7 linked regions of the Nothobranchius furzeri genome follow. The protein of the gene in region 1 binds, or shares a complex with, the protein of each later gene. Links are inferred from orthologs where the notes say so. Each region holds a gene or a part of one and is shown in the gene's direction. Other genes may lie near its edges. The genes, in order: polr2f, polr1b, gtf2a1, ercc3, taf1a, ubtf and polr1h.

The links.
Region 2: polr2f (region 1) and polr1b share a complex: the UniProt entries of both Homo sapiens proteins name them as parts of the pol I pre-initiation complex. The link is inferred for Nothobranchius furzeri from reciprocal best matches to the Homo sapiens genes POLR2F and POLR1B.
Region 3: polr2f (region 1) and gtf2a1 share a complex: the UniProt entries of both Homo sapiens proteins name them as parts of the TBP-based Pol II pre-initiation complex. The link is inferred for Nothobranchius furzeri from reciprocal best matches to the Homo sapiens genes POLR2F and GTF2A1.
Region 4: polr2f (region 1) and ercc3 share a complex: the UniProt entries of both Homo sapiens proteins name them as parts of the TBP-based Pol II pre-initiation complex. The link is inferred for Nothobranchius furzeri from reciprocal best matches to the Homo sapiens genes POLR2F and ERCC3.
Region 5: polr2f (region 1) and taf1a share a complex: the UniProt entries of both Homo sapiens proteins name them as parts of the pol I pre-initiation complex. The link is inferred for Nothobranchius furzeri from reciprocal best matches to the Homo sapiens genes POLR2F and TAF1A.
Region 6: polr2f (region 1) and ubtf share a complex: the UniProt entries of both Homo sapiens proteins name them as parts of the pol I pre-initiation complex. The link is inferred for Nothobranchius furzeri from reciprocal best matches to the Homo sapiens genes POLR2F and UBTF.
Region 7: polr2f (region 1) and polr1h share a complex: the UniProt entries of both Homo sapiens proteins name them as parts of the pol I pre-initiation complex. The link is inferred for Nothobranchius furzeri from reciprocal best matches to the Homo sapiens genes POLR2F and POLR1H.

The regions. Positions count from the first base shown.
Region 1 is NC_091752.1:66,414,096-66,417,972, reverse strand, and holds polr2f (DNA-directed RNA polymerases I, II, and III subunit RPABC2), read left to right. Parts: upstream 1-1,352; 5' UTR 1,353-1,488; coding exon 1,489-1,508; intron 1,509-1,764; coding exon 1,765-1,834; intron 1,835-1,922; coding exon 1,923-2,053; intron 2,054-2,851; coding exon 2,852-2,923; intron 2,924-3,017; coding exon 3,018-3,108; 3' UTR 3,109-3,377; downstream 3,378-3,877. UniProt on the Homo sapiens protein: DNA-dependent RNA polymerase catalyzes the transcription of DNA into RNA using the four ribonucleoside triphosphates as substrates.
Region 2 is NC_091752.1:7,757,473-7,761,660, forward strand, and holds the start of polr1b (DNA-directed RNA polymerase I subunit RPA2), read left to right. Parts: upstream 1-1,388; 5' UTR 1,389-1,459; coding exon 1,460-1,636; intron 1,637-2,397; coding exon 2,398-2,565; intron 2,566-3,786; coding exon 3,787-3,933; intron 3,934-3,998; coding exon 3,999-4,131; intron 4,132-4,188. UniProt on the Homo sapiens protein: Catalytic core component of RNA polymerase I (Pol I), a DNA-dependent RNA polymerase which synthesizes ribosomal RNA precursors using the four ribonucleoside triphosphates as substrates.
Region 3 is NC_091742.1:19,637,728-19,641,879, forward strand, and holds the start of gtf2a1 (transcription initiation factor IIA subunit 1), read left to right. Parts: upstream 1-1,352; 5' UTR 1,353-2,330; coding exon 2,331-2,360; intron 2,361-2,826; exon of another isoform or gene 2,827-2,942; intron 2,943-3,599; exon of another isoform or gene 3,600-3,727; intron 3,728-4,152. Other genes in the region: N-acetyl-D-glucosamine kinase, read right to left, coding at 4-203, 284-362, 443-540, 613-700, 770-940. UniProt on the Homo sapiens protein: TFIIA is a component of the transcription machinery of RNA polymerase II and plays an important role in transcriptional activation. TFIIA in a complex with TBP mediates transcriptional activity.
Region 4 is NC_091749.1:40,321,580-40,325,640, reverse strand, and holds the start of ercc3 (general transcription and DNA repair factor IIH helicase/translocase subunit XPB), read left to right. Parts: upstream 1-1,261; 5' UTR 1,262-1,404; coding exon 1,405-1,432; intron 1,433-1,612; coding exon 1,613-1,809; intron 1,810-1,893; coding exon 1,894-2,130; intron 2,131-2,209; coding exon 2,210-2,259; intron 2,260-2,337; coding exon 2,338-2,473; intron 2,474-3,963; coding exon 3,964-4,061. Other genes in the region: gpalpp1 (GPALPP motifs-containing protein 1), read right to left, coding at 1-50, 156-405, 511-576, 652-763, 865-949. UniProt on the Homo sapiens protein: ATP-dependent 3'-5' DNA helicase/translocase. Binds dsDNA rather than ssDNA, unzipping it in a translocase rather than classical helicase activity. Component of the general transcription and DNA repair factor IIH (TFIIH) core complex.
Region 5 is NC_091742.1:8,334,908-8,338,971, reverse strand, and holds the start of taf1a (TATA box-binding protein-associated factor RNA polymerase I subunit A), read left to right. Parts: upstream 1-1,264; 5' UTR 1,265-1,426; intron 1,427-1,538; exon of another isoform or gene 1,539-1,957; intron 1,958-4,029; 5' UTR 4,030-4,064. UniProt on the Homo sapiens protein: Component of the transcription factor SL1/TIF-IB complex, which is involved in the assembly of the PIC (pre-initiation complex) during RNA polymerase I-dependent transcription.
Region 6 is NC_091745.1:10,210,542-10,214,542, forward strand, and holds the start of ubtf (nucleolar transcription factor 1), read left to right. Parts: upstream 1-1,201; 5' UTR 1,202-1,339; intron 1,340-1,834; exon of another isoform or gene 1,835-1,991; intron 1,992-3,473; 5' UTR 3,474-3,495; coding exon 3,496-3,532; intron 3,533-3,703; coding exon 3,704-3,876; intron 3,877-4,001. UniProt on the Homo sapiens protein: Recognizes the ribosomal RNA gene promoter and activates transcription mediated by RNA polymerase I (Pol I) through cooperative interactions with the transcription factor SL1/TIF-IB complex.
Region 7 is NC_091751.1:25,535,633-25,539,752, forward strand, and holds the start of polr1h (DNA-directed RNA polymerase I subunit RPA12), read left to right. Parts: upstream 1-1,320; 5' UTR 1,321-1,424; intron 1,425-1,994; 5' UTR 1,995-2,017; coding exon 2,018-2,135; intron 2,136-4,120. UniProt on the Homo sapiens protein: Core component of RNA polymerase I (Pol I), a DNA-dependent RNA polymerase which synthesizes ribosomal RNA precursors using the four ribonucleoside triphosphates as substrates. Can mediate Pol I proofreading of the nascent RNA transcript.

The DNA.
Region 1 (3,877 bases):
GATCCGATGCTGTGCTTGAAAAACAGATTAGTACCTGCACGGGGTAGATCGCTGCTTCTCTAATTCTTGCCACTTTTTACATTAATAATTTTATCATGAGTGTTTTATTACTTCCTATATTTGCGTATCTCTTAAATTTTTCTTTCTATCTTACCTTCTGCACCAAATACCGCAGCAATTTCCTAATGTTGTGACTTGGCACACATATGGCAATAAAACCTTCTGATTCTGATTCTAAAAAGCTGGTCCTTTGTATGTATGTATTTATTTATTTATTTATTTATTTATTTATTTATTTCACTTTGGTGGAAACCGGCCCTGTTAAATGAGGGAAATTGCAGTGTACCACAGTGACCATCAGGTGGCAGCCTTGTGGTGTGTCACCTTTTAAAATAGGCGCGTCATGAATGTTTGGGTGACGTTCTGACAGACACGTTAGCTCTACGTGAGATGATTTATGTTGTTTGTGCAGATAATAAGCTTAAGACCACGTTCGTTAGCCATGACATACAACCAAATAGAGGGCCAAAAGTACATAAAAAATTTATATCATTAATTGAATGTGTCATTAGTTGGTTGAAATATGAAATAATTATGTATATATGATTTTAATGAATGTGCTATAAATAAAAACATTTATTTGATGTAAAAATTACAGATAATCATTAAACTGTACAATTTTAGTAATTATTACATGGCGGAGCTGGCAGTGAAGTCGAAATGGTCCTCTCTCCAGGATCTCAGTCAGGTCCACCGGTAGAACCCCATGGAAATCCCTGGCCAGTAGACATGATGATTCCTCCAACATGTCCTGGATCGAGCTGGGGGCCTCCTACAGGCAAGACATGCCTGGAACACTTCTCCTGGGAAGCGACCGGAAGAATTCTCATTAATTCATCGCTGGATTCAGCCCCAGTCTTCTCTAGTCAATAAACAGGCCTTGGATTTGGAGGAGTCGGTGTGCATTTTAGGATTTAAAACAAAATAATTAAAAATTTTCATCCATGGCCCATTTAACAATTTATGTATGTAATGATTTATTCGTGAAATAATTTGGCATTAATTTGATTAATTGCACATATAAATAATATTTTTTTACGTGTCAAATTCCTTAAATCTTTAGCACTTGATTATAACAATTCATTAAAGAAAGTGAGGAGAGAGAGAGAATGGGGATTATTCAGCCTTTATTTAACCTACAGTTGGTAGAATTTACAGATCAAACTAAATGGAAAATGACTTAACTCCAGAAGGTGGCAGTGTTGCAACGGTAAACCTTGTTGATGCTTCTGAAACATCAAAAAAAAAAAAAAAAAAAAAAAAAGACAGACCGGAAAGGGAACTCTAACGAGGTTCTTTTGGCCGACCGGAATGTTTAGTAGCGTACCAGCCAGTGCAACGTTCATGTGGATTCGTGTTGGTTACAAAAGTGTAGCCTAGAAACGTTAAAATATTTTACACGGATATATACTACTCTAAAAATTTATCATGTCGGACAACGAAGACAAGTAAGTAAAGAAATCGTTTAAATAATCTGCGTCATTTTGTATAATCGACGTAAGCTAACGGGGATGCTAACTCGATTAGCATCACACGGTATTGTTTATTATGATCCTTGCCTATTCTGTGTATTGCTGCTTACGTCCTGTTTTATTCAGTCTCCCATCCAAGTTTACGTACTTTTGTACTTTTTCAATAAAGCTTGTTAAAAGTTATGAATCACCTAAAGTTTAAGATATCTGATCAAAGGTTTTAACTCCGTAGCTTCGATGATGGAGATTTTGATTATGCAGAGGAGGACGAAGGACTAGACGACCTGGAGAACGTCGAAGATGTGAGTTATTACAGAGACGGATCACCACTTGAGACTTTTATGAAGCTGTCTCCTGGTCTGAGCTTGTTTGTTTTGCTCTGGTGAATAGGAGGATCAGGAGAATGTGCAGATCCTACCTGCAGGAGAAGGCCAGCAGGCCAACCAGAAGAGGATCACCACACCGTATATGACGAAATACGAGCGGGCCAGAGTGCTAGGGACCAGAGCCTTGCAGATAGCGTGAGTGTGTTTACATGAGATCACGGTTAAAGCTGAGTGTGTTTGATCTTTAACTCGTTAAACACATTTTCACTGAGAGTAGGTTTCCTCCCTAAACTTAGTATTTAGAGATGTTCAGTGAAATTAGCTGGGCTCATTTCGGGATTTATGTCAGTAAAAGTTTCGTTTTTCCAAAAGACATTTAACCCTCCCATTGTCCTGATGGGTGTGACCCCGCGAGGAAAGTTGACCATTGAGCAGGGATGATGGTTTATCCCTTGGGTCCATGTGGCAGGGGTGAGAAGTGAGCACCACCTCACCCCTGCCATGTAGACATCAAGGGATAAACCATCCATCCTGCTCAGTGGTCAACTTTCCTGGCGGGGTCACCCATGAAGACAGTGGGAGGGTTAAGTAAAAACTTAAATATGCTAAATAGCGCATTAACACCTAGTATCAACAGAAGGTTATTTAGGTAAATCAGTAAAATCAACTCCTGATTCTGTTTTTGTCTTGAGTTTGGGCTCTCTGAATTCCCACCAGCAGAAATTCCTGGAAACAGGCGGCTGCTTGTGTAAATGCCTCATCTGCTTTCAAAATAAAAGCATGCCAAAGCCCATTTTAAAGCTAAAAGTAGCGTTTGAATCTACATGCAGAATTATTTGTATTTAATTTCCAATGCTGGCTGGATGGCTGCAACTAATGAGTCACTTTTTTCCCAGCTTTAGAGAAATTAGCCCACTATAAACCCCATATTCCCATGTTGCATCAGTCTGCCTGAATAAAAGTGTTTTTCCTGTGCTGGCTTGATTCCAACAGGATGTGTGCTCCTGTCATGGTGGAGCTGGAGGGAGAGACTGACCCTCTGCAGATCGCTATGAAAGAACTTAAGTAAGTCACTTTGACAAGCACCAACTTTTGGCTTTGGTTTTATTTAACGAACAACTTTTTACTTCACTCATCTTTTCTTCTCTTTCTCCAAAAGGGGCAGAAAGATCCCCATCATCATCCGCAGGTACCTTCCTGATGGGAGTTACGAGGACTGGGGCTGTGATGAGCTCATCATAACTGATTAAACATCCTAACCAGCATCACACATCATCATCTCTGGACTTTTAGAGACTCACTAACTTTTACAGAGTTGTACGTTTGCCTGCTGGGATCCGTTTATGAATATGTTGTTTTAATTTCTTTTCACCATTTTAACATCTACTTGAGGAGGAGAGACGAGAACCTTTAGTTAAATACTTTTTATGCATCCGTGAGGAGTCTAAACGGCTTGTTTTGTTTTTCGGAAGAGACGGTGTAAATGAATGTTTTATTGTTAATAAAGTCATTTCTAGAAGCTGCTGTGATGGATTTATGTACAAATCTCTGGTTTAAAACAGAAATGTGTTGCTGCGGTTGTTTCATTTAGAAAATTAAATGTCACCCCTTCTTTCCACAGGAGCCGTCAGCAGCGCGTCATAGCTGCTGATAGGAACCGCTGTGGTCAACAGAACCTTTTCCACCGGAGCCGTCAGCAGCGCGAGTCGGCCGCTTCTCAGGAGCAGCATGTCGCGGCCTTTACGCGCCGGTTCTATTTTCTACACGCGACGCCTCTGAAACGGGTCAAGTTCGACATTTTTGGGGAAGGAAAGACAGGAAATCGGACGCGGAAATGGAGAGAAGCTCCCGAGATTTTCAGAATAAAGAACGTACTGCCTTCCGGTTGCTTTACTTTTAAAAAAAGTTACTAACTGTGCGGCCCCGTGAGAAGTTATCACCTAGCTAGCGGTCTCCTTTGTTTTTCAGGTCCGTATTGGCGATTCTAAAATGGACAGAACATAAAACACAAACCTTTTG
Region 2 (4,188 bases), about 59 Mb from region 1:
TGACATGCTCTTAAATGCTGAGAGATAATCATTTCCAGGTAAATTAATTTTGTTTAGCCTACAAGCTGCAGGATTTACATGTTAAAAAAACATTTGCTTCAGTACCCATGTAATAGCTTACTGGAACATCGTTGTCAATTACCTAAACGAGAAAGGTTAGGATCTTGTCAGCCACATATAGGATAAACAAAGTGAATTTAAATGATTTTTTTTAAAACCAATTCAAATTTTTTTGCAACGTTTTGAGAAAAATACTGATATAAGTGGCTCTCTGTGTGATGAACTCCCTGAAGATAAGTTTTGTCTTTTAGTTGGGCCCTATATCCCTCATTTTCTTTAGAACATACATCGTTTCACTCACCATCCACCTGGGATAGCCAGTCTATGGGGATAGCTTATATAGCCAATTGGCATATTCAAAATTGTTTTGATAATGAGGTAAAACAATATAAAACGACATAGGCACATAGCAACTCGTTTTTTACAAACCTTTACTTAAAATCAGAACATTACAAAAATTACAAATAACATCAAAAAGAACACACATTTTACAACTCACAGTATCAGGGGGTTCATAATACGACCAGCCAGCAGAGATACACCACTGGGTGTCGCTGTCGGATGACGTCAACAGCTAACAGGCTAAAAGCCCAATAAGTACAGGAAGCTCTCGCCGGGTGCGGTGGCGCGTGCCTGTAATCCAAGCTACTGGGAGGTTTAGGCTGGCGGATCGTTTGAGCTCAGGAGTTCTGAGCTGCAGTGGACTATGTCGATCGGGTGTCCGCACTAAGTTCGGTATCGATATGGTGCTTCTGGGGAAGCCCGGGACCACCAGGTCGTCTAAGGAGGGGTGCACCGGCCCAGGTCGGAAACGGAGCAGGTCAAAGCCCCCGTGCCGCTCAGTAGTGGGATCGCGCCTGTGAATAGACACTGTAGTGCAGCCTGAGTAATACAGCGGGACTCAGTCTTTTACAAGCTTTTGTGTTAGATAGGTTATTTTACTCGCTTTCCAGATGCTGCTTTTGCACATTTTACTGCAGTTTAAGCGTTGATTCTCCCCCGCTTCTCTATTGAAAACTGCAGCTGTGTGGCTGTGACACACCGCCCCCTTCTGGAAAATACGCGACCACCAATCACATCAGCTACCCTCACAGTAGAAGTGAGCGTTGCTTCTCAACAATTACACATAAAAACAGACTTTGTTATGAGATCAACTGATGTGCTTTATGAACATGAGCAAAGAAAAAGTGAATGAAAACAGTCCCATGAGCAGCGTGACGTCAAGTGCAAAGGGAAACTGGTGTAACGCATCGTTGTCTCCACAAGAGGGCGCTAACAAATCACTCGAGAACAACAACAAAAAAAAAAAAAGCAACGACAGATCTACTTCCTGTTTCAGTGATGTACTTCCTGTTTCGTGATGTCCATGTGGTAAACAAGCGTCCCGGGTTACACCAACATGGACTTTTCAGCTAAGTGGAGTAATGTACCGACAGGACCGAGTCTAAAGAACCTGACCGATGGAGAATTCGGTAAACTGAAAGAGACGCAACACGCCGCCGTTCAGGACCTGACTAAAGCCCACATCGAGTCGTTTGATCAGGCTGTCACTGATGGACTCAACCGCCTTGTGCAGGTCAGTGAGAAAGTCAGGTTTACAATTATTTTTTCACTTTAATAATTTAAAACATCATAAATACTCCAGCAGGGATATGAGAAATGACTAAATACTACTCCTGGTTAATTTCCTCCTCTCGTTGCCCTCTTTGACTTTAACATGTTTAATCCACGTGTGTCAGATCTGGTAGACATATATCATACATGTGTCTCTAACGGCAATAAAAAACCTTTATTTAAAACGGAAACAATGAACAGTTAATTACGAAATAAAATGTAGTAAATAAATGTAATCGCTAATTTGGACCAGTTACTTTTTATGAATGAAATGTTTTCATTTCAAACTTTTCAAATTAAAAGCATGACTTCTGACCACCTGAATGAATATCTGTATTACAGTGAAAACACATAAAAAATTAGATGCAGCCCCCTTGAGTGTTCAGAAAAAAACAAAAGGATATGAAGTGTGTGTGGGGGTGGGGGGGTACACGGAGTCAATTTAGAACATAAAATTCGAGACTACAGGCTGAAATCGTATTGCACAGAAAAGTAAAATGACAAAATTGGCCAATAACATGTTTTAAAATTTAAAATTTATCATTTCTACTTCATATATCAGAAAAGGGTCAAACCTTTACTCAGCAGTAGAGCAGAAGCTTCACTAACTATTAAAGGCTGTAGATGAGGTTATTATTATTGTTATTATTTTCCTTTGGGGTCATGTTGATTTTTGGGATCGTCTGGTTGCTTTTTGGACAGTTTTTGTTTGATGTTTTCCAGGCGATTCCTCCGATAGAGTTCATGTGCAGAAATGAAAAGTTGAGCCTCACGTTCGTTGATGCAACCATCCAGAACCCGCTGGTCGCCAAAGGCAGCATCTGCACAGAGATGAAGGTGTTTCCAGCAGAATGCAGAGGAAGGAGGAGTACTTACCGAGGAAAAGTGGTGGTAAGCTAGGCTAACTCTCTCACCTCCCTGTTGGAATGAAGAAGAAAATTTCATTTCTATAGCGCCTCTCAAGATAAAAATCACGAGGCGCTTCACAAAAACAAAAAATGTAAAAATATAAAAAAGCATTTAGAAAATGTTTAAAAATACATTTAAAATGAGCAAAAATAGGCAATTGTGATTAAAAAAAATTTAATAAAGAGAGAGAGTTAATAGGAAAGAGGGAAATCAGTGGCTGGAGGAGAAGGGGGGTGATGTGGGTGTGTTTGGAGGACTTGGTCAGAAGCCGAGCACAGGCACTCTGAACCACCTGTAGATGGTTCAGGGAGGTTCTGGTCAGACACGTGAAAAGAGAGTTACAGTAGTCTAAGCGTGAGGAGATGAAGGTGTGGAGAACTGTCTCAAGTTCAGAGCGGGACAGAATGGGACTCAGTTTAGCAATGTTCCTGAGATGGAAGAAGGAAGAGCCAACAAGAGAACTGACATGAGAATCCAGGGTGAGAGCTGGGTCAAAGGTCACGCCAAGATTCCTGACAGAAGTTTTGGTGTGGGAAGCAAGCTGACCAAGAGAGTCTCTGACTTTGGGAACCAGCTTGTCTGGGGCACAGATGAGGATCTCAGTCTTATCTTCATTCAGCTGAAGAAAACTCCCAGCCATCCAGGTTTTGATAGAGTCTAAGCAGGTGTGTAACAGCTGCAGCTTAGACATCTCATGGGGCTTAAAGGAGATGTACAGTTGGATGTCATCTGCATAAAGATGGTAGGAGATTCCTTTGAAGGAGCTCAGGATGTGCTGAAGAGGAAGCAGATAGAGGAGGAAGAGCAGAGGCCCCAGCACAGAACCTTGTGGGACACCATGGGTAAGAGAGGTGGTGGAGGACCTAAACTTGGAGACGGCCACAGAAAAGAAACGCTCAGAAAGAAAAGAGGAGTACCACTCCAGAGCAGTTCCTGATAGGCCTACCCAGTCTCTCAGCCTCTCCAGTAGCAGGTGATGGTCAACAGTGTCAAAGGCTGCAGTCAGGTCCAGCAGGACCAGAACAGAACCGTCCCCTGCATCACTGTGAGTCAGAAGGTCATTAGAGACCCTAAGAAGAGCTGTTTCAGTAGAATGAGCTCTACGAAAACCTGACTGGAAGCTATCATAGATGTTCTGTTCATCAAGAGCAGCTGTGAGGTAGCAGGTTTTGTAGTGAGGCGTGTGACGATGTGTCATCTCAGGCAGACGTCAGCTGGTCCATCAACGGCTTTCCCAAAGGCATCATTAAGCAGTCCCTGGGCCAGGTGCCGATCATGGTGAAGTCAAAGCTGTGTAACCTCTACGGCATGTCCCCCAAGGAGCTCGTAAAGCATCACGAAGAAGCAGAGGTGAGCCGAGCTGACGCGACTCCTCCTGTTATTGGATGTCGTCTAAACGCTGGTTAATTGAACAGGAAATGGGAGGTTACTTCATCGTGAACGGAATCGAGAAGGTGATCCGGATGCTGATAATGCCGAGGAGGAACTATCCCATCGCCATGTCGAGACCCAAGTGGAAGAGCAGGGGTCAGGGCTACACCCAGTTTGGTGAGTAGACACTGAGAGGAGCTTCAGCTCGTTGTTCTGTGCTGATTCCTTTCTTTC
Region 3 (4,152 bases), on another chromosome or scaffold:
TCACTATCCGCTGTTGAAGGTGTGCTGATAGAAGACATCAGCATTGGTGGAGTAATCCATACGGATGGAGGAACCTAAACTCTGAACCCCAAGGCTAGCTCCGCCCAAAGCAGAGGACTGCTGTAAAGTCAGGAGGCTGTAGCCATGGAAACGGTCCTTCAACTTGTCTGATGATGCGGCTTTTTCCAGAACCTCTGTGAACCCTGCAGAAACACATAAAACATGCAGATGAGACTTCATCCAGAGGGTTTCATGGACCGTTATTACCATCAGCGACACAGACCCGGCTTCAGGAGAGACCAGCTCTTCCACACGGAGCCCACACACAGGACTGGCAGGCCGCGCTCACACCTTAATAACGCCTTAAACAACAAAACAGAAGAGAAATGCTCCAGTTTCATACATGCAAAAGTGAAACCAGAAGGCTTGTAGGTGTGGTCACCGGTTGAGCTGCAGGTAAAACTGACTCTACATGTTTAGCCAGAACTCTGCCAACCTGAGCGAACACATGCTGGCTGAGAGCATCCCCAGCCTCCGCACCTGGGACACAAAACACTCAGGATGACACTCTATTGTCCTAGAAACCTGAGCAGAAGTCCTGCTGCTGCTCACCTTCAGCCAGCTTCTTACAGAAGCCAGCAAAGTGGGACTTCTGGAAGTTCCTGCAGAGGTGAGGAAGCATTCCCATCAGATCCAACACCTGGGAGTAATGTTTTAATTATTCTGGGTTTAAAAGAACAGATTTGTCTTTGTGTTGCTGCTGTCTGACCTGGAAGTTCTCCTCCATGGCTTCTGTAACCCATGTGATGTCATAAGGAGGCGCCACCAAGTTGTCTTGAGCGTCAAACACCGTCTTCACGGCCAAACGAGCGATCCAGAAAGCTGAAGAAGAGATATGATTAAGATCACTGTGGTAACCACTGTGCCGTGCTGCGACCATGCTGACCACAGCCCTGCTGCTTCAAGGTCAAGAGCTGAGTCCGGTTGCAGGCCTCCTGCGACCATGCGCGAAGCGTTAAAATATGCCCTTCATGTCTTGGATGAAGACCCATCAAAGACTAACAGAGTTCTTCTCCTCTCTTCTGCAGAACAGAGTGCACATCCTCCTGCACCTGTTGAACCTGCACATGACTCAGTCGCAACGACGAGTCCTCCAAAACTGAAACATGCCCCAACGGTGTGTCCTGTGGCAACTGTGAGGTTTGGTGAGGTTGCTTCCGTTAGCTCTAAACCTCGAGCATCCAATGCACCTGTTAGCAGGTCAGGTAATCCTTACTTACCAGACAAACCTCCACTTAAGTTTTTCTGTGATATCATCCGTAAAGCTCCCAAGGAGAAACCTCACATCCCAGTGAACCTTGTGGGATCGCTTGGCTGTGGGGCTATCCTGGACTCTGGTTCGGACCTCACCATCATGTCCCGTTCTCTCTGGGAGAGTGTCTGCTTGGCTGCGTGCAGCTGAACAGGGTCGTGTCTTAACGCTCAGACCCTGCGCCGTGGATCTCAATCCTTTAACTCCAGATCCAATGGCCTTGTCGTCTGTAGCTTTCCTTGGAGTTTCGGTGGGTGGCATGTCTGCGAGACACCCAGTGTTTGTGTCTGACATTGAGGATTTTCCTTTTCTGTTGGGCGAAGAACTGCTCAAGCGCTTAAAGCGTTTCATTCTACTCGGTGGATAATTGGATAATAACATTTTTATTAGTAAAAAGGCTTGGAGAAAATAATAATAATAATAATAATAATAATAATAATGATATTTAAAATAGAAATACCCTAAACAAATCTATACTGTATTATCCAATTAAAGATTCATATTTTATCAATTTAACAAAATATTCTCACATTTAAAAGCATTAATTATTTCTATATAACTCAATATCAAATTATCAAATACTCCTCCTGGCAGTGAAATCGTATTCTTTAGCGTTAAACTAACTGAACCAATAATAATGCAGAGCACGCTGCATTAAAAAGCCTGGTAAACTTTAATGTCAGGCTTTCCGCTTTAAAACTACATTTCCCAGAAGCAGCCACCCTGATTAGTCATCAAATTCCGCAAAAATCTCGCGAGATTTTCTGTCTGAACCTGCCCTATGTCTCGCGCACTCGCAGCTCCTTCGCTCAGTATATAAAGCAGGACAGCGGCGAGAGGAAGACGGCTGGGGAGTCGCAGCCCGGGACTGTAAATAAGACCGTGAAAACTGTGTTTTATTTACAAAAGTGATGCCGGCTGTTCTAAACGATCTTTCCCAGTTGTTTTAAGTCTTTTTTTGGTCATTTTTGGCTCTGTCTCTCGCCTATTTCCGTGTGGTTTTTACACTACGCGTATAATGGCGAGCTCGGCTAACTCGAACCCAGTGGTAAGGATCAATCTCAACGGACTGCCAGTCGGGGGAAACGGGGGTAAAGTTGTCTAGAGGATGTGGAGGAGATGGGTTTTTTTCAGATGAATATGCTTGAACTAGCTCATCACTCCTGAGTGAAATTATAAAGGAAATACTAACTTTGAATAAGCCATAATTCGAAACTAGATATTCAAATGAAAACATGGCACTGAAGAAGCTTCTGCCGAGGCAAGTTTTGAATGATTTTACATTAAATAATGCTGGTTAAAGTGAAAATTTGTAATTACTTCAGGTTGAGACTTTGTTTAGCGCTAGTGTGATTTATCAGTGGCTGTTACGAGTCTTGGTTTATCATTTGGAGTCAGTGTTTGATCTTAGTGCCGTTCATTTAGCCCAGGGTGGATTATTGGACGAATTTGTTAGCCAGCTGACGTATTTGAGCTTAAATATTGGAAACCGCACATCTAATCAACAGACGTACCCAAAGCACATCGTCAACATCCACTTCCAAGTAAATTCAACTAGAGGATCTGATATTAAAAAGCCATTTTAGCGCAAAGTCTTGGACGCAGTCCGCGGCGCTGCCTCGTCGTGGTCCACCATTCCAGGACCAGAGGCGCAGAAAAGCGTCCCGAAACCCATTTTTGACCCATGATATCTCCGATGTCCTGCTCCCAAAACAAAGCCACCGAGTCAAAACTGGCAATTAAACGCATAAAACGAGAGCCTCTTTCTTTATTTGGCCTCATTTCGCTGAAAGAAAACGGCTCTGTGAGCGGGGCCGCTCCGTAAAATGGCTTCCACCTCTCCCGTCTCGCTCGGTTCTGGCCCTCCTCCCTGCCGGTGGCTGGCTTTATACCGCCATATTGGCTGTCTAATATAGACTGCTGGGATGGGACGGTGCTACACGACGCTACGTCACCGGCCCGCATATAAACACTTCACTGAGCTTTAATTTGTGGAGGAACCGACTGTCCGAGGGGGAGGGAAGGACGCACCGAGGTGTCCACCGCGGACATCGAGGCAGGGCGGTATCTTGGCTGGAAAGTCTCCGCAGACTTGAACGCTACGGTTGAGCTAGTAACGCAGTCCCGGCGGACATCTATGTAATTGTTTATGTTGACAGACGCGGTTGTGGATAAGATCCGGATGCTGAAGCACAGTTTGGATTATAATGGAGCTGTGAAACATTAATCTTGATTTATGCCAGGGGCGTATCTGAGATTTTTCAGGGTACGGGGCCCATCAAGGGGCCACAAAATTTATAGAAGAGCCAAGTATTAGTTCAGTGCCCTTAGGACAGGATTGCTTTATTTGTCATTGAACCAGCGTCTTGGTGCGATGAAATGTAGTTTCAGTACAACCTCTCCAAGATCAGACCGGTAATGCAAATATGTAAAAATAAGTAAGTGTGTGTGTGTGTGTGTGTGTGTGTGTGTGTGTGTGTGTGTGTGTGTGTGTGTGTGTGTGTGTGTGTGTGTGTGTCCGGTTTTAAAGTACTTTAAAGGTACAATATTAAGGGATTTTACAGTCAAATAATCATGTTGGAAAGAAGGTAACATTGACACAAATTTCATCCTCATGAAGTTAAAGATGTCATGAGCCGGACAGGAAGTGACAAGTGCGTCTGGTATATTTCAAAATAAAACCTGTGTCACATTATTTTTGCTGGCTTTTGTTTTATTATTGATGGCAGGGATATTAGTTTAGTGTATGATAGTTCATTAGTGTCGTTACAGGTGTGCCTTTAAATGTATTGTGTAGGACTTCCGCAAATGACGAATCGTGTCATGCCTAAAAGTGGCTT
Region 4 (4,061 bases), on another chromosome or scaffold:
GGTGGGAGCTCTGTCATCCACGTTTCTCTAGTTACCACCTCTGGAACATCCTAATTACGCAGAGGACAAACAAGAACACATTAAGACACAAAGAAGAAACAGCCCCCTTTTATAATTTAATTATTATGAGGAGAAAAATGTTAGAGAAAAATTACCACTCTTGTTAGCTTATCTTTCATCCTTCGTGCCCTGCACTCAAAATCATGAGCAACAGAATCTTGAATCGGTCCTTTAGCAGGCATGGGTCCAATCACGTCCTCCTCCTCTCCCTCGCTGCTGGAGGGTTCGGGACAGTAGCCCCGAGGAAGGGCAGGTCCTGGAACAATTTCTTCCTCATCATCATCATCACTGTCATATTCAGTCCTGCAGAACCCAGGAGGCAGAGCTGGCCCCAACACAGGTGCCCTGAGAAAATACCATCACAAACAAATGTCACACTGTTATCCTAAACAGGAAGTGTCCTTACACGTGCTATTTATGTTACTAGAGAATATTGATGTTTCTGCTCACCTTTCTGGTGAATGTTGCTTTTTATATCCTGGAGGCAGAGCTGGTCCAAAGAACCCATCATCATCCCTGTTCAGAAACACATGTTAGTCAAGTTCGTTCTATTTCTTTTAACTAACAAATGAGACCAGAACCAGAACTCACTCTGCAGCTCTCCCAGTCTTGGCTCGCTTAGCTGCCACCTCTGGTTCACTTTCATCTGAGGAGCTAGACTGTTCACCCCGTTTATACCCAGGAGGTAAAGCAGGACCAGCAACTAGACGGCGACATAAATAAAACTGTTAGCTAAAAGTGAACAGAGCAACCCGAAAAGATCAATTGCCACAACACGTTAGCTTCTAACAAAACGTATCTTACAATCTTTTTCGTCAACGTCGTCCTCAGAGCTCTCATTTCCAAATATCGGAGGCAAAGCAGGTCCTATAATTTTATCAGAGGACATCTTTGCTAACAATTTCGTTACGTATTTTCAGGGGATATTAAACAAAACCTGTATTTACTCTATGGCTTTTAACCTAGGAAGTAAACAATAGAGCAGCAGCGGAAGTCTTCAAAGTGTTCTGCCAAAACAAATGCACCTGCTATTGTGATTTATTTTTAATTAAGATTTTAATAAACACATTTTTGAATAAGTAGTTTTAAAGCTTCGTAAATTGTATTAAACTATCGTAAATATAAGTAATAATCAACTGTACACTGTCTCTGTGGCAAAAACGGAAATATAAAAACTTTTATTTTGAAAGTTTTTGAACGGAAACGCTTGTTATTCAGAGCTCCACTTTAGTGCACAGTCTAGACATCGTTTATTCCTTCATATCATTTAAAGACACGTATTGTGTGTTTACCTAAATACATTTGGGACTATTTTTAAGACTTTACCCATGTAAACCTTTCAAAATGGGTAAAAAAGATAAAGGAGATCGAGGTAAGTTGGTAACGTTTCATTTTAATCTGCGTGGAGCTAGTCACCGAACGCTAACCTGCAATATACTAGCGCAAATACGTCTGAGCAAAATGTAGTTTTGATTCCATGGCATCTTAACATAACTACTGATTTTTAAAATGTTTTAGTAATGTTAATGATTGTTTTGTGGATCTGCTATAGAGAAGAAGTTCAAAAGACGCTACTATGAGGAAGATGACGATGAAGAGGTGACAGTCGGGGAGTCTCAGGAAGCTGTACCTGCTGCTGCAGGGAAGCAGGTGGATGAATCTGGCACAAAACTGGATGAATATGGAGCCAAAGACTACCGCGCACAGATGCAGTTGAAGAATGACCACAACTCCCGTCCTCTCTGGGTGGTATGATGCGTCATTGCTGCTTATAGTCACAGCTGTACCTCAGTAATCTCTTAGAGGTGAAATCTTGTTCTCACTTCTCTACAGGCTCCAGATGGACACATCTTTCTGGAAGCGTTCTCACCAGTATATAAGTATGCCCAGGATTTCTTAGTGGCTATTGCAGAGCCAGTGTGCAGGCCTAACCACATCCATGAGTACAAGCTGACTGCATACTCCTTATATGCAGCAGTCAGTGTGGGGCTGCAGACCACTGATATTATAGAGTACCTGCAGAAGCTCAGTAAAACATCTGTACCTGATGGAATCATCAAGTTCATTGAGGTCAGAGATAGACAGGATGTGATCCTATAGTAACAGTTTATTTTTTTGCTCATCTGTTGTATTTTTCTGCCTCTTTCAGCTTTGCACTGTGAGCTATGGGAAAGTTAAGCTTGTGCTCAAACACAATAGGTAAAGGTCTTTCGTCTCTCTCTGCAAAAACATTTATTTCTTCAGCGGTTTTATTCACTTGTGTTTTCCCTCTTCTAGGTATTTTGTAGAGAGCACCTTCCCTGATGTGATTCAGCGTCTCCTGCAGGATAACGTGATCCGTGAATGTCGTCTTCGCTCTGCAGATGGAGCAGACCCTGAGCTTATTACTGAAGTTGTCCACAGCAAATCAGCAGTATGTCATACTCCTTAAGGATCTGGATGTTGTGGGGATTTGTTGGTTGACGCAGCTCTGTAATATCTCGTGGACTTCGGGAGCAGTTCCACTGGATTCACAGACTGGGGTGGTGGTCCCCCTGTTTAAAAAGGGGGACCGCAGGGCGTTTTCCAACTACAGGGTGATCACACTCATGAGCCTCCCTGGTAAGGTCTATTTCAGGGGTTCTGGAAAGGAGGGTCCGGTGGATTGTCGAACCTCAGATTCAGGATAAGCAATGTGGTTTTTGTCCTGGCCGTGGAACACTGGACCAGTTCTTTAGGGAGGTTCTGGAGGGTGCGCAGGAATTCGCCCAACCAGTCTACCAAACCAGTGCTTTGTGAATGTGAATTTGGTGAAGGCTTTTGATTTTGTCCCTCAGGGGGCCCTGTGGGGGGTACTTTGGGAGTATGGGTACCAGGCCTTGTGATACAGGCTGTCAGGTCCCTGTATGACTGGTGTCAGAGCTTGGTCCACATTGCAGACAGAGATGGGCCATTCCCATCTGTACCGGGTTGGCCCGGGCCGGGTAGCGTAGGTTGTTTACATATCTGGGTGGCCTGGTATTTTTCCGGGCCAACCAAGGCTCATTCTCAGCCCTCTTCTCGAGGGGGTCTGCTTCAGGCCGACCAGGGCCAACACACCCACTGCTGACAGCAAATTCACACCTTCCATTAGAGCAAGCCTCTGATTGGTGGGTAGAATCAGCCCACATGGGCTTAAGACAAGGATGTTTGAAATCAACCGGGCCAGGCTGGGACCAACTGGGGCTACCCGGCCCGGGCCGACCCGATACAGATGGGAATAGCCCATAAGTTTGATCGTTTCCGGTGAGAGTTGGGCACCACCAAGGCTGCCCTTTGTCAGCGATTCTGCTCATAACTTTTATGAACAGGATTTGTAGGTGTAGCCAAGGTTATAAGGGAATCCATTTTGGTGTTCTAAGGATCAGATATCTGCTTTTTGCAGTTGATGTTGTCCTGTTGGCTTCATCAGAACGTGATCTCCAGCTCCTGGATGCCTCCCTGGTGAGGTTTTCCGGGCATGTCCAACTAGGAGGAGACCTGAAGGAAGACCCAGGACATGCTTGAGGGACTATGTCTCTCAGTTTGCCAGGGAATGCCATGGGATTCCCCTGGAGGAGCTGGCCCAAGTGGCTGGGGAGAGGGAAGTCTGAACCTCCCTGCTTAGGCTGCTGCCTCCGTGACATGACCCTGGATACGCAAAAGAAAATGGATGGATGATATTTGAATTTACAGGGGTTTGCAGAAGTTCAAAATAGAACTGAATGAAAATGTCACTGTGTTGAATGTTTTATTCTAGAGATGTATTTAGGAAATAATTAGTGTATAAAATGAAACATTTGGTAGATTTTTGGGAAACGTCTCCCATTTTCTTAAACTAAACCCCCGTTACGTAAAAAGTGTAAAATATTTATTTTTCCTATTACATTTCTCTTTTTTGGCCAGATTTCTAAGTTTGTTCAAGAAAAAGGAGACCCATCCACCTCACAGCAGCCTGTTGATGGACAGACCTCAAACCAGCAGGTCCCTGAGGACATCTTCAG
Region 5 (4,064 bases), on another chromosome or scaffold:
TCCAAGTGATACTTTGTGTCATATTTTACACTTTAACAAAACGTTGTTTGATATTTAATACAGAAATACTCATCCAAGGTGCAGCTAAGTATTGGTCTTTGGGTGCTGCCATAATTTTTTGTGCTTTTATTTATGTGACAGTGTTTTATTGAGGCTTTGTTTGATTTGCATTTGTTCTCATGAACTGTATCCGTATCTGTTTTTCTAAGGTGGTTCTCCCCACACACCAGGATTTGTTGGCTTTTATCCACACTTTGGTTATTTCCCTGAGTGCCAATGTGATTTTTTATTTACAGATTATTACAGATTAGTTTTCTCCCTCCAAAGGCAGGAGTTGGAGTCTTTCCAGTTTTTGGTCACACTTAATGATGCCCACATTAGCAAAAAATGACAACATTTAGACATAAATCATGAACTAATGGCCCCTTCCAAACTGGTTGATAAGCATAAAAATGTTTCTTGAAACTAAGGAGGCAAATAATGGACGGAACTCTTCTGTTTCAAGTAATCATATTTATATGTTTGACATGGAAGTAATATGCATTATTATAAAAGTAAAAAATAGTTGTTAATCGTGGTACAACTTCTTTTTATTTATTTATTTATATATTTATACATTTATTTATTATTATTATTTTTTACCTTTGTCAGTGGATAAAGTTAAAAGCACCACCAAAATAAAAAGCCAAAATGTCAACTTTTTTACTGTTGTATCTTTTTGTCATTTTCACAGGATTGAGAATCGATTGTTTAACAAGTAATTAAAGCACATCCTACTACATAAAAGCTTGTTACTCTGCATATTTTTGTTTGAACTTTCTATGATAGACCAATTGCTTGATTTAAATAGTTTTGTAAGATCATCTTTGTAGATTATTTCTCATGTTTATTAGGCCATTTTGGAACCACTATTTTTCCATTTTGGGGCGTTTTAGTCCTCCTTATGGCAACTATTTCTAGTGATTTCTTTTAAAAAGCTCGGAACATGTTTAGTCTGGCTTACCTCCCTCTTCCTCACCAACTTCTTTTTATGCTAGTGTTTATGTATTTTTCGGCCTCCAGTGTTGTTCAGTTTTATTCCTATGTTTAATCTTGAATTTTTATTATTATCTTTTTAATCAAATGTTTAGCGCTTGCAAAGCGTGTTGTGACTTTTATTTAGAAAAGCCCCAATGTAATATCAGCTCCGCCTTTTCCGGTGTAGTTAACCAATAGCATTGCAGCTTTCTCCCCAGCTTCCTTTAGCCGTACTTAAAACGTGGGTTTTACAAATAAGTCATATGAATATGTATCTCGGTTGTATACACTGATATTATAACACACTTTAAGATATTTTCCGGCATTTGTAGCTCACTTGAATTAGCTTATATAATTTGTAGATTATTCAGCAATCCTTAGAAACACCTAACTTTACTCCTGAGAGGAGGTAAGCTAACAAAGGTTTGTTTACATGTGATCCTGCTAGAGGATGGTTGATTTTTTAAAATCCTGATTGGCTCTTTTTGGATAACAAATAATTTCAATAATTTTGGAAAGTTTTACTTTAGTAAAAGAGGGGTAGATTCCCAGTCTTTCATTGACAGCTATGCTAAGAACGCTAACTAGCTTGTGTGTTAGCAGCACTCTTGAGCAGGTGTCACCAACACAGAGGGCTACCATCCTGCACATGTTAGCTGTTTCTTTGCTCCTACACACCTGATTGAAATGAACGAGTAAATAAAAGGTCTATGCAGAGTTAAGGAGATGATTAAATTACTTCATTCAGGTGTGGTAGAGCAGGAAACAGCTATTTTTGAGAAAGTTGATGATAGGTTTGGAAAATCTCTATTTGCAGATGACGGTGCCATCTGGAGAAGTGGGAGGAATTTTAAGCATTTGTTTTCTCAGACACCGAAAGCTTTAGATCAAATTGTGCAGTGGGCAAATAACGGAGGATTCAAGTTATCTATAGTAAAAAGTAAATTTATGATCTTTGGCTTAAAAAGGAAAATCCCATCTATGAATATTCATATTTATGGCTCTGTGATTGAAAAGGTTTAAGTTTTTGGGTTTGTGGTTTGATGAGAAATTAATCTGGAAAACACATAGAAAGATTAGTAAGCAAATGTGAAAAGGTAATTAATGTCATGAGGAGTTAATCAGGTAGCAGCTGGGGAGCGGAGAGAAGTACTTTACAGTTAATCTATAGGGCTATGATTAGGCCTGTTTTGGATTATGGATGTGTGGTTTTTGGGAAAGCTTCTAAATCTGTGTTGTGTAAATTGGATTATGTGCAGTTTATGGCCCTAAGAATCTGTTGCAGAGCATTTAGATCTACTTCAGTTCCAGCATTGCTGGTTGAAACGGGTGAGTACCCTTTGACAATGAGGAGGGGAAAACTAGGAGTTCATTATTGGCCGGGTTTAGTGGCAGCTTGGCGTATAAATGTCTCATAGATGATTGTCGGGAGTCCAGTGAAGATCAGGATAAGGACAGTTTCCTAAATCATATTGTAAAACTAGTAAATCTCCTAGGACTACAAAAGGAAATGGTGGTGGGGTTAGTGTGGTCTCCAATACCGTTTTGGAAATTACCTGAGCCAGAAGTTGTTTTGGATTTACTAGGATTAGAAAAAGCGGTTGCCATTAAACTGTTAGAAATGTATTTAAGTGTTCAAAGATGCTATCCAAATTTATACTGATGGATCTAAAGAAACTACATTTCATAGAGCTGGTTTTGGGGTTTATATTGTCGAGCTATAAGTTAGGTCAAGTGTTTGTGTGACAGATAAATTATCTGTTTTTTCTGTTGAGCTTTTGGCTATTTTGTAGGCAATGAAGTGGATAGTGGAGCATAAACCATCTCACACTATTGTCTGCTCTGATTCTGCTGCTGCACTGTTGACTCTAAGTAACGGGACATCTGAGGCATGGAATGACTTAGTTTTGGAGATTTTGTGTTGTCTAATGGGCCATTCCCATCTGTACCGGGTCGGCCCGGGCTGGGTTGCGTAGGTTGTTTACATATCTGGGTGGCCTGGTATTTTTCCGGGCTAACCAAGGCTCATTCTCAGCCCTCTTCTCGAGGGGGTCTGCTTCAGGCCGACCAGGGCCAACACACCCACTGCTGACAGCAAATTCACACCTTCCATTAGAGCAAGCCTCTGATTGGTGGGTAGAATCAGCCCACATGGGCTTAAGGCAAGGATGTGTGGAATCAACCGGGCCAGGCTGGGGCCGACCCGGTACAGATGGGAATGGCCCATTAAAGACGCTGAGAATGCGGGTTCTAGGGTGGTATTTGTCTGGGTCCCTGGACATACTGGAATTTTGGGAAATGAAATGGCAGATGCATTGGCCAAAGACTCCATCCTTAGAAATAGCATTGATCATCATCTTCCTCTGGGAAAAAGAGAATGTTAATAGTATGTGCATGCAGTAACTATTTAAAAAATTTGTGGCAGAAAGAATGGGAAGGGGAACGTAGAGGAAGACTTTATTTTCCTTGTCAGCCGTCAGCTCATACTAGTTGGCAACCCTTAACCTGTTGTCGTAGAGATGAAGAGGTGATTGCCAGAATGAGATTGGGGCACTGTGGTCTGGCGGCATGCTTATTTAGGATTGGTAAACATGTAGATGGGTTGTGTGAGTGTGGTAGTTCCAAAACTGTTGTTCATGTATTGTTGTCATAGCCTGGCAAGCCAGACTAAATAAATGTATTATTTAAGATAAGGATTAGCAAACTTTGCAACACAAGGATTTGGTCTAGTTCACTAGGCTATTGTTGTCATGCAGGAAATACAATAGTGAGAAGCGGCAACTTTTTTATGGGGCTGGTGGATTTGGGGATGGAATCTTTTTCCTTTTTTTTTTTCGATTAGTGCAAATTCCCAATGTGTATATAGCTTGATTGTTCAATTCCTTCATCACACTGGCATTTATTCGAGGATATAATGTAGCAGTAATATAACTGTGGTGGGCAGCATTGCACATTCCAGCGTATAGTCTGCTGGAAATTTATTATTATTATTATTATTATTATTATTATTAGAAGAAGAAGAAGAAGAGGAAGAAGAAGAAGAGGAA
Region 6 (4,001 bases), on another chromosome or scaffold:
TGCCAAGAGTCTTAATGAGATAAATTATAGTAGGATTGTTCCTCAGAGAGAAATGTGTTCGTTATTCTTATATTATGTTTAAAATACTATTTAAAACATAAACGTTCTAAAAACATGATACGCAAGCATAATATTCTACATGGGAAAATTACTATTTTAGCTGCCTTTTTATCCTGCTAATAGGTTAAATAGTTGGTTTTATTTTTAAGTCTAGTATTGTCTAGTTTTATTCAGCCATATTCATGATTTCAATCTTCATCAAAGGCAAAACAAAAAAGTAATTAACAATTACACGTTAAATTCGATTTAATACTTTGTAACCACATACAGGAAACATGATATAAATTACTGTGAAAGATAAATACGAACAGGATAATTGAAATTTAAGGTAAACAAAAAAGATAACACAATTGAATTCTTCAAACTATATTATATAATTTTAATTGTAATTGTAGAAGTTTATTTAAACAGTGACAGTGCACAACTTGACATTAACCACAAAAGAAAGATGCAATGTACCAGGTTATAGTGGGGATGCTAATTTCCACCTGTAGTGCCTGGGAAGGTTGATATTAAAATCACTAAACTAAAACAAAAGACGACTGTTTTTGTCCAGTTAGCTAAATTCCTGACACTAATCCAATAATACTTTATTCCTACTGTAAGTGAACATAGCACAGTTTAACAAGACTGAGTGCCTGAAAGTCTTTGTTTTCCTTCAATCGGACGGACTGGATTGGACGGCCGGGGGTTCCGCCCACAAACACACAAGGTGGAGTTGAAAAAATAACATGCTGGGCTAAAATGAAGCTGTCAAACAGCCAGTTACGTTTGAGTCAAAGAGGTTTGGTGCCGGGGGAACGGCACGGACACCGGAAATAAGAGTTAGGAGAATAATCAGACACTGATTGGTGTCAATTATAAACTTTAAAGATGTGTGCGTTCAATGAAAAAAAGTTCACTGGTGGCGTTTAAATTAGGTAACCAGTAAAGCGATTTTTCTTTCAAGTGTAGGCAGACGAAATGTTAGAGATGCAAACTTCAGTGGGAGACGTGAAAGTCGGGCTCGATGAGAAACAATAAACTCTGCTGGCTGAGCTCAGAAAATCAGCGGCGTTAACACTGGGGAACATGGGGATGTGTCGGTGTAGCGGAAATGGTTGGATGGAGAGAAGAGAGCTGCTGCACGTTGACTGGAGGGAGACAGCGAGAGAGATGGAGGCGGGGGGAAGGACCATCTCTGCGGGGACTGGAGCCCAGGACCGACGGCGCAGTGCTGGCTATCGTTCAACCCTCCCCTTCTTCATCCACAGCGACGCGGAGGCTCGCGCCGAGACAGGTAAGCAGCACGAAAGTCGGTCGGTTTCATAACCACACGTGGAAAGAGCGCGATAAACAAACCAGAAAAGCGGTTAAAAGTCGAAAAATAGACATTCTGTTTTTAATGTTGTCTACCAAAGCTCCTTAGGCGGCAGGATCTTTGTGGTAACGAAACAAACTCCCCGCTGGAAGGGCGCAGACGAGGTCGGCCTTACCCGAATTTCTCTGCCCAAACAGCGGGGAAGAAGCTGGATGTAAGACCCAGTGGTATGATGTCTACTATAAATTACACCCAGTGAATTCATGAAGCGAATTAGTTTCACGTAGCATCGGGATTTAGCTAAGCAATCGTTTGTTTCGCGTGGGGAAATGTTTTCCGGTAGTTTCCGCGCCGAGACCTCCACGCGGCTGTTGGCGGAACAGCTAGCCGCCTCTCGGTCAGCCATCAGGGATCTCGGTTTAATATCTCACCGTGAGGAGACTCGCCCTCCCCTCTCCCCCTCTCTCTCTCACTGACTAGCCCAGAACCACCGACAACCGAGCTCGGAGAACCCGCCTTTCCGTCCTCGCTTATGCGCTTTTTGGAGCTAGGGAAGGGAGTCTGCAACGCCCCGGCTAGAGCTTTCGGCTCCGTTTTCAGTGTTCGCAGTACGCCATTGGACCTTGTCACGGTAGGTTTGCTTACAAGAGCGGGGCTGGTAGCATGGCGGACCTGGAGCCGTTTTGTCGCGCCAGAGAAGCTGCTCAGCCGCGGATTGTTCTTTAGATATCCGATAATGAAAGAGCCGATTAAAGCCCACATTTTCCTCGAAACGGAGAATAACTAACACTAACATGAAGTAATTCAAAATTAGGTCAATAATGTTGTTTCACCGTACATATATTTTTTATTTTAATTATGTTTCGCGCCTCCGCAAATAATTTAACCTAACATTTATTAATTTTCGATCTGGTGTAACTTAATTTAGAATATTTTGGAGCATTTTGTATGGTTGTCAAATAATTCATGTTAATTATACGTTGTAAACACAAGTTAATGTGATCCCTAAATCGTCCTTGTGTGACACAAATTTTGATTAGTAGCAAATACTGTTGACTAACTGTGCTACCTTAGATGCTGGTATGATTTTAGGCTTCTTTTCGACATGCTAAGTTACACGGCGTCTTATGTTTTTTTTTCCACATTTATGTAGTATTTTTGACTAAACGTCATAAATCCGACGTTTGAATTTGACATTCTGCGCATTTTACATAAGAAATATGTCGAAAGTAGTGTTAGAAACGACGCGAGGAGACACGGTTGAGCTATCAAGGACAAGATGAACAACGGTCATCCGCCATCATTGGAGCACAGCTCGGCTACGCCTCGCTGAAGAATGCTCTGGCTTTTTGGTCCAAAAAACAACTGCGTGATACCACAAAGCGAACAAAATGTTGAGTGAATTATTCTAAAACGCACACATAAACCCCCTCACGCGTAGAATGCTAGTTTAGTCGTTCTTGTTTTGGGTAAACATTAGTGGAGAAGACTTTAGGGCTGCGTGGCGGAGCTAGATCCACGTCCAACGGTGATGAGGCGTCTCCGCCGAGTGGCGCATTTGGCTGCAGTGCTTCCAAGCTGCCATTCCAGGCTGTCGGAGACCGAAAGCAGATCCCCCGTCCGTGGTCAGCTGGTCGCCTACAGCTGCCTGTCTGTCCACGTTCATTCGCTTCCTCCTTCCGTGGATCCTCCCCAACCTCCGCTCCGACAGAAAGTCCTCCATTACCGAGCAGACCGAGCGAGAAAATGGTCGCTCCTGAGCGTCCACGATACTTCTGTTGTAGAATAAGGACAGCACTAATTCGCCAAATTCCGGTTGGCCCAAAAATAAAAAATAAAAAAAAATAAAAAAGAAGCTCGACAGGGACTCCTGTTGTCGTCGCTAGATATGCTTAGTTGAAGCCCTCCGCAGTGTTATTTGAGATTTGAAGCCGTCACAAGCAATAGCCTATGCCTCACCATGCAGCGTAAACGTTTAGGGGCGGTGTAATGAACATAAACCATTATGTCGGCACACATTTCAACTCAAACGACTTACAACAGAGATCAGTTATAATAAAGTTAGAAAATATGAATTTTAGTGATTTTGATTAATTTATTGTTTCTTTTGTAGTTCAAAAATCGCATTTTCACAAATGAATGGAGAAATGGAGGCAGCGACACATGACCAAGGTAGTATATTTATGAGTCATTTTTATTTATATATATTTTTTTAACAAATGACAAATACTTGTATAATCACGAAATTGTTTTAATGAATTCCACATTTTGTCATCATACTATAAACATAATGCAACCATACTAATAAATCCATGAACCAGTTTACATGTATTTTTTTATCAGTGTGGTCGCAGGATGACCTCCTAAAGCTGCTGGAGGCCATGAAAGTGGCTCTGCCACAGAAAGATCTGACTAAATACAAAACATCCGAGTCCCATCTGGACTGGCAGAAGGTGGCCTTCAACTCCTACACTGCAGAGATGTGTAAACAGAAATGGCAAGAGGTCTCTAAAGAGGTGAGATGCTCAGATCATGATTTTTAGGTCGTAAACCTTTTCAGATGTAATATTTAGATTAAGTTCTTAAAGAGGTCCTCCAATGAGAAACAAGTTTGTCTTATTTTTGGAAATGATCTGTTACA
Region 7 (4,120 bases), on another chromosome or scaffold:
AATCTAAGGGTGGATCTGTTAGTCAGGAAGCACTGATGACTTCGAGTAAGTGTTCTGCAGGCAGGACTGGGATGATTTAAATCCAGAAATTTGTCACTGAGGCATGTGAGACATGATGGTAGAATTGATATGTTGTTAATAAAGTTGCTAAAACATTTTAATCTTCATGATAACATTTTGCAACACGACCTTCAGTCACAAAGCTTTATTCTAATGCTCCACTTTTTGTAATCTTTTTCTGGGATGTCTTGAAAACAACAAAGGAAGATGAAACAACCTTCTGTGATCCATCCACGTCTGCTGGTGAAGTTCCGTTTCCTCCCTGACACATTATATGGCAGGAATTGATGGACCATTTAATTACTGAATGTGTGATGTCTACATCATCAAAGAAAGATTAATACTTGCATTAGGGCTTATTGTTTGTCATTCTTTTACTGTGTTCAAATTATGAATTGTATTTTTGATTTTCATTAACATTTAAAAGGAGTCCACAAATAATATAATATGGAAACAATTCATTAAAATAAAACACCTATGGAAAAGTCAGACATCCGTTCAAATTTTCTACATACATGCACCAAACAAATGAATGATCATAGGTTTCAGCCTGATAAGAAAACACAGCATCACTGTCTCAGCTGGTCGGTTCCAGTTTCACTCCAATGTGAACTAAACTAAATCAGAAAATTTCAAAATTTGTGATTTTAAGAACATTTGGTTTGTGTGACATCTGTAACCACCGATGTGTAGATTATTCTAGTGGCCTTTTTTTTCTTCTTCTTTTTTTTTTTTTTTTGTAAAATAGATAAAAATAAACAGTTATGAGCAGTACTGTTTTTGACATGGGCGACCTGGGTAATGGCCCAGGATGGCATCATGAGAGGGGTGGCAAAATGGGTACGAAAAAAAAACTTATTTTGGGAGCGCAGTGCCTGAACATTATGCTGGTGTGTGTAACTTTTGGAAACATTTGTTCTGCTGCGTGCTGCAGAGGGAGGAGGACAGGTCTGCTGAAGCGGCTTGAGTGAAGCAGCATCTAAAAGTAAAGTGTGTTCGCCCAGGGCACCGAACAGGCTAGGACCACCCCTGGTCATTGTTGCCCCAAATCTCTGCACAGTAATTATGAGTTTAGTGTTGTTTATTATTTCCACGTATGCTTTACTTTGGTATTGAAATGCTTCTGGAGATGCTATATGATATTTCCACCTTATTTTATTGTTTGACACCATTTAATGGTATTTGCGAATTAATTTAATTATTCCCAAATAACATTTTGGTCATTAACTCATGTCACGTAAACAAGCGTGCGACACTAGCACGTCCTGCGTCATCAGCCTGCGACAATAACGTGATAGGACCATATACATAGCTGTGGATAGGACCCTAGGACCTCTACTGCAAACAAGTGACCGGTGAAAGAGGTTTGTAACGTTTTATACTGACTTAATAAATGATGACAGTAGCGCTGTTTTGAACTAAATGTGTAAAGAATAGCCGAATACTAATATAAACATGTAAAAGGTTTCCAAGTAGCTCCACGTGCTCAATGTGCTGCTGCTACTACTGCTAATAATAACAATAACATTCACTCGTTAGATTTCATCACACAGCCAGGAGGTCTTTTAAAGTGTTAATTTATAAAGTGCTAAGTCTTCATAACGGAAGTTACGGTGTAACTATGGTTCTGTGAGTTCCTGGATGACTGCCAGTCACAGGGGTCACTCGGAACTTCTCGGGCGAGAAGATCCCGGGAGACCCGAACGTAGCTATCGGCGCGTAATTTATAGACTCGCGACCAGGTGCGCTACGTGTCACGTGCGTGACTTTGTTTACATTAGTACTCGACCTGCGCAGAGCGCGAGGAGATACATCCACTCTGTTTACTGCCACTGGCAGTCAGGAGGGAACGAAACAGAACCCATGTGAACCGAACGGGAAACCAGTGGTTCATGGTTTTGATTGTTGTTTTCAACGTGTCTGTGTTTCTCAAGAGTCAGCAGCCCGGTTCGACGGGATGTCTTATTTTAGTGGTGACCCGAACTTCTGTCCTGAATGCGGGAACGTTCTTCCGGTACCAGTAACCTCCAACACTGTCCTGTGTCCTCGCTGCTCCTTCTGCATTCCTGTTTCAGGTAACGTGTCCCAGAGCCGTTTCTAGCTTTGTGAGGGCCTGATTCAAGAGGCTGTTTGGGAACCCGGGTGGAGGTGGTGATGATTCCTCAAAGTACCACAAGTGTAGTAAAAAGAAAAAAAAATCACTTCACAGTAAATGTATTTAACGTGATAGTGATGCACCGATATGAAATTTTTGGGCTAAAACAAATATACAATATTAATATCACCGTTATGGCCGAAAACCGATACCGATATACCGACATTAATGCTTCTAAAATCAGCAGATTTTGTGTAGGGCTTGTGATCACACGTGATTACGCATAGCATTCTGCAAACTGTGAAATAAACGGTACTGTCGCAGAGTAGAAGCAGATTTGGGTGAAAGAAAGTGTTAAATCACATAAAATCCCAACAAGGATGTGGAATATACAGGGACATGTTATATAAAGACGTCGGGGACCGGTATGTGGACAAAATCATCATTATAAATGGTTTTGATCCACATAAAAGACCCAAGACTGGAGCACTGGTGACATATTGTTGCAGCTGCAGTTCTGCATAACAGACTTTTTCGGCTATCTTGTTTAACGTCCAGATGAGAGGTAAACGTTTAATTTGTTGGTTTTTCTAGTAAAACAATCAAAATTGTCATCCCTCAGAAGAAGTGTAGCGAGAAAAGTTATGTTGTGTATCATTAGCTTACCGGTAGGTGAGTGTAGCCTCTGTGTACGTGTGTGTTTCGTGTGCATGTTGCGGTTGAGGGAAAGAAACGATGTATAAAAACGTACACCATCTGTAATTTACCAGAATGAAAATAATTTGGAAGGTGATGTTTGGTCGCCTTACAGCTGCGATCCAAGTGAGCTAACAAGACTTTATGCTAGATACTTGGTCTCTGTCGTTTTGCCACTAAACAGGAAAACTGTGGAAAGTTAGCTTGTTTTTCACCTTAATTCCACTGGCGATCACGTGTGTCACATGAATTAATAATACATAAAAAGTATCAGCTGTTGTGCTACAGCTACTATTTACCGTCTATGTGGTAGATTACTGTAAATACAGGCATGAACATGTAAGCACACAAACAAATACATATATCAGGTGCATCCTGCATGGAGTAGTGACCGTAGCGTTTAAGTGGCTGGCTGACTAATGACGTCATAATGTGTTATAAATCCCATCTACTGGTGGAATCGGTGGTCTACGGGAGTGCTCCTTCCTGCAGCGGGGGTATATCAGTTTCTGACTGAATGAGCTGCTCAGGTTGATGTGTGTTGTTCATGATGGATGTTAGCTTAGCTAGCATCCTCCTCTCGCCCACCACCGATTCCAGGGGGCATCCCAGTACAGAGCTAGTCCTCTGCACCAGTTTGCCAATTCTGTTCTGGTCCCTGTCTGTACATCCGCTTCCCCAACAGGCCACTGCATAGAAAAGGGCAGATGCAACCGACAAATCATAAAAAGTCCTTCACAGAGTTCTGCATACTCTGAAGGACCTCAGTTTCTCAGCAGGTGGAGTCAACTGCATTTGAGATGGGCAGATGAAGGACAGTCCTTGTGGTAACTCTGGGAGAGCTTAGTCTGACTGATTGTTGCCTTTCTCCTTTATTGTTTTTTCATTAAAAACAATACGCATCCAAGAAGAAGAAGAAGAAAAGATCTCTTCTATAGCGCCTCTCAAGATAAAAATCACGAGGCGCTTCACAAAAACAAAAAATGTAAAAATATAAAAAAGAATTTAGAAAATGATTAAAAATATATTTAAAATGAGCAAAAGATAGACAATTGTGATTAAAAATGTAAATAAAGAGAGAGATTGAATAGGAAAGAGGGAAATCCAACACAATTATCTTGAATTTTAGAAACACACACACTTAAAAAATACATATTTCAATCAGGGATTACAATTATTATTTTTTTTTTCAAAATTTATCGTTTTAGCTTTTTAGAACAGTTTAATTTGCTTGTTGCTGTCATAACAAAAACACCTACAAAAACTATT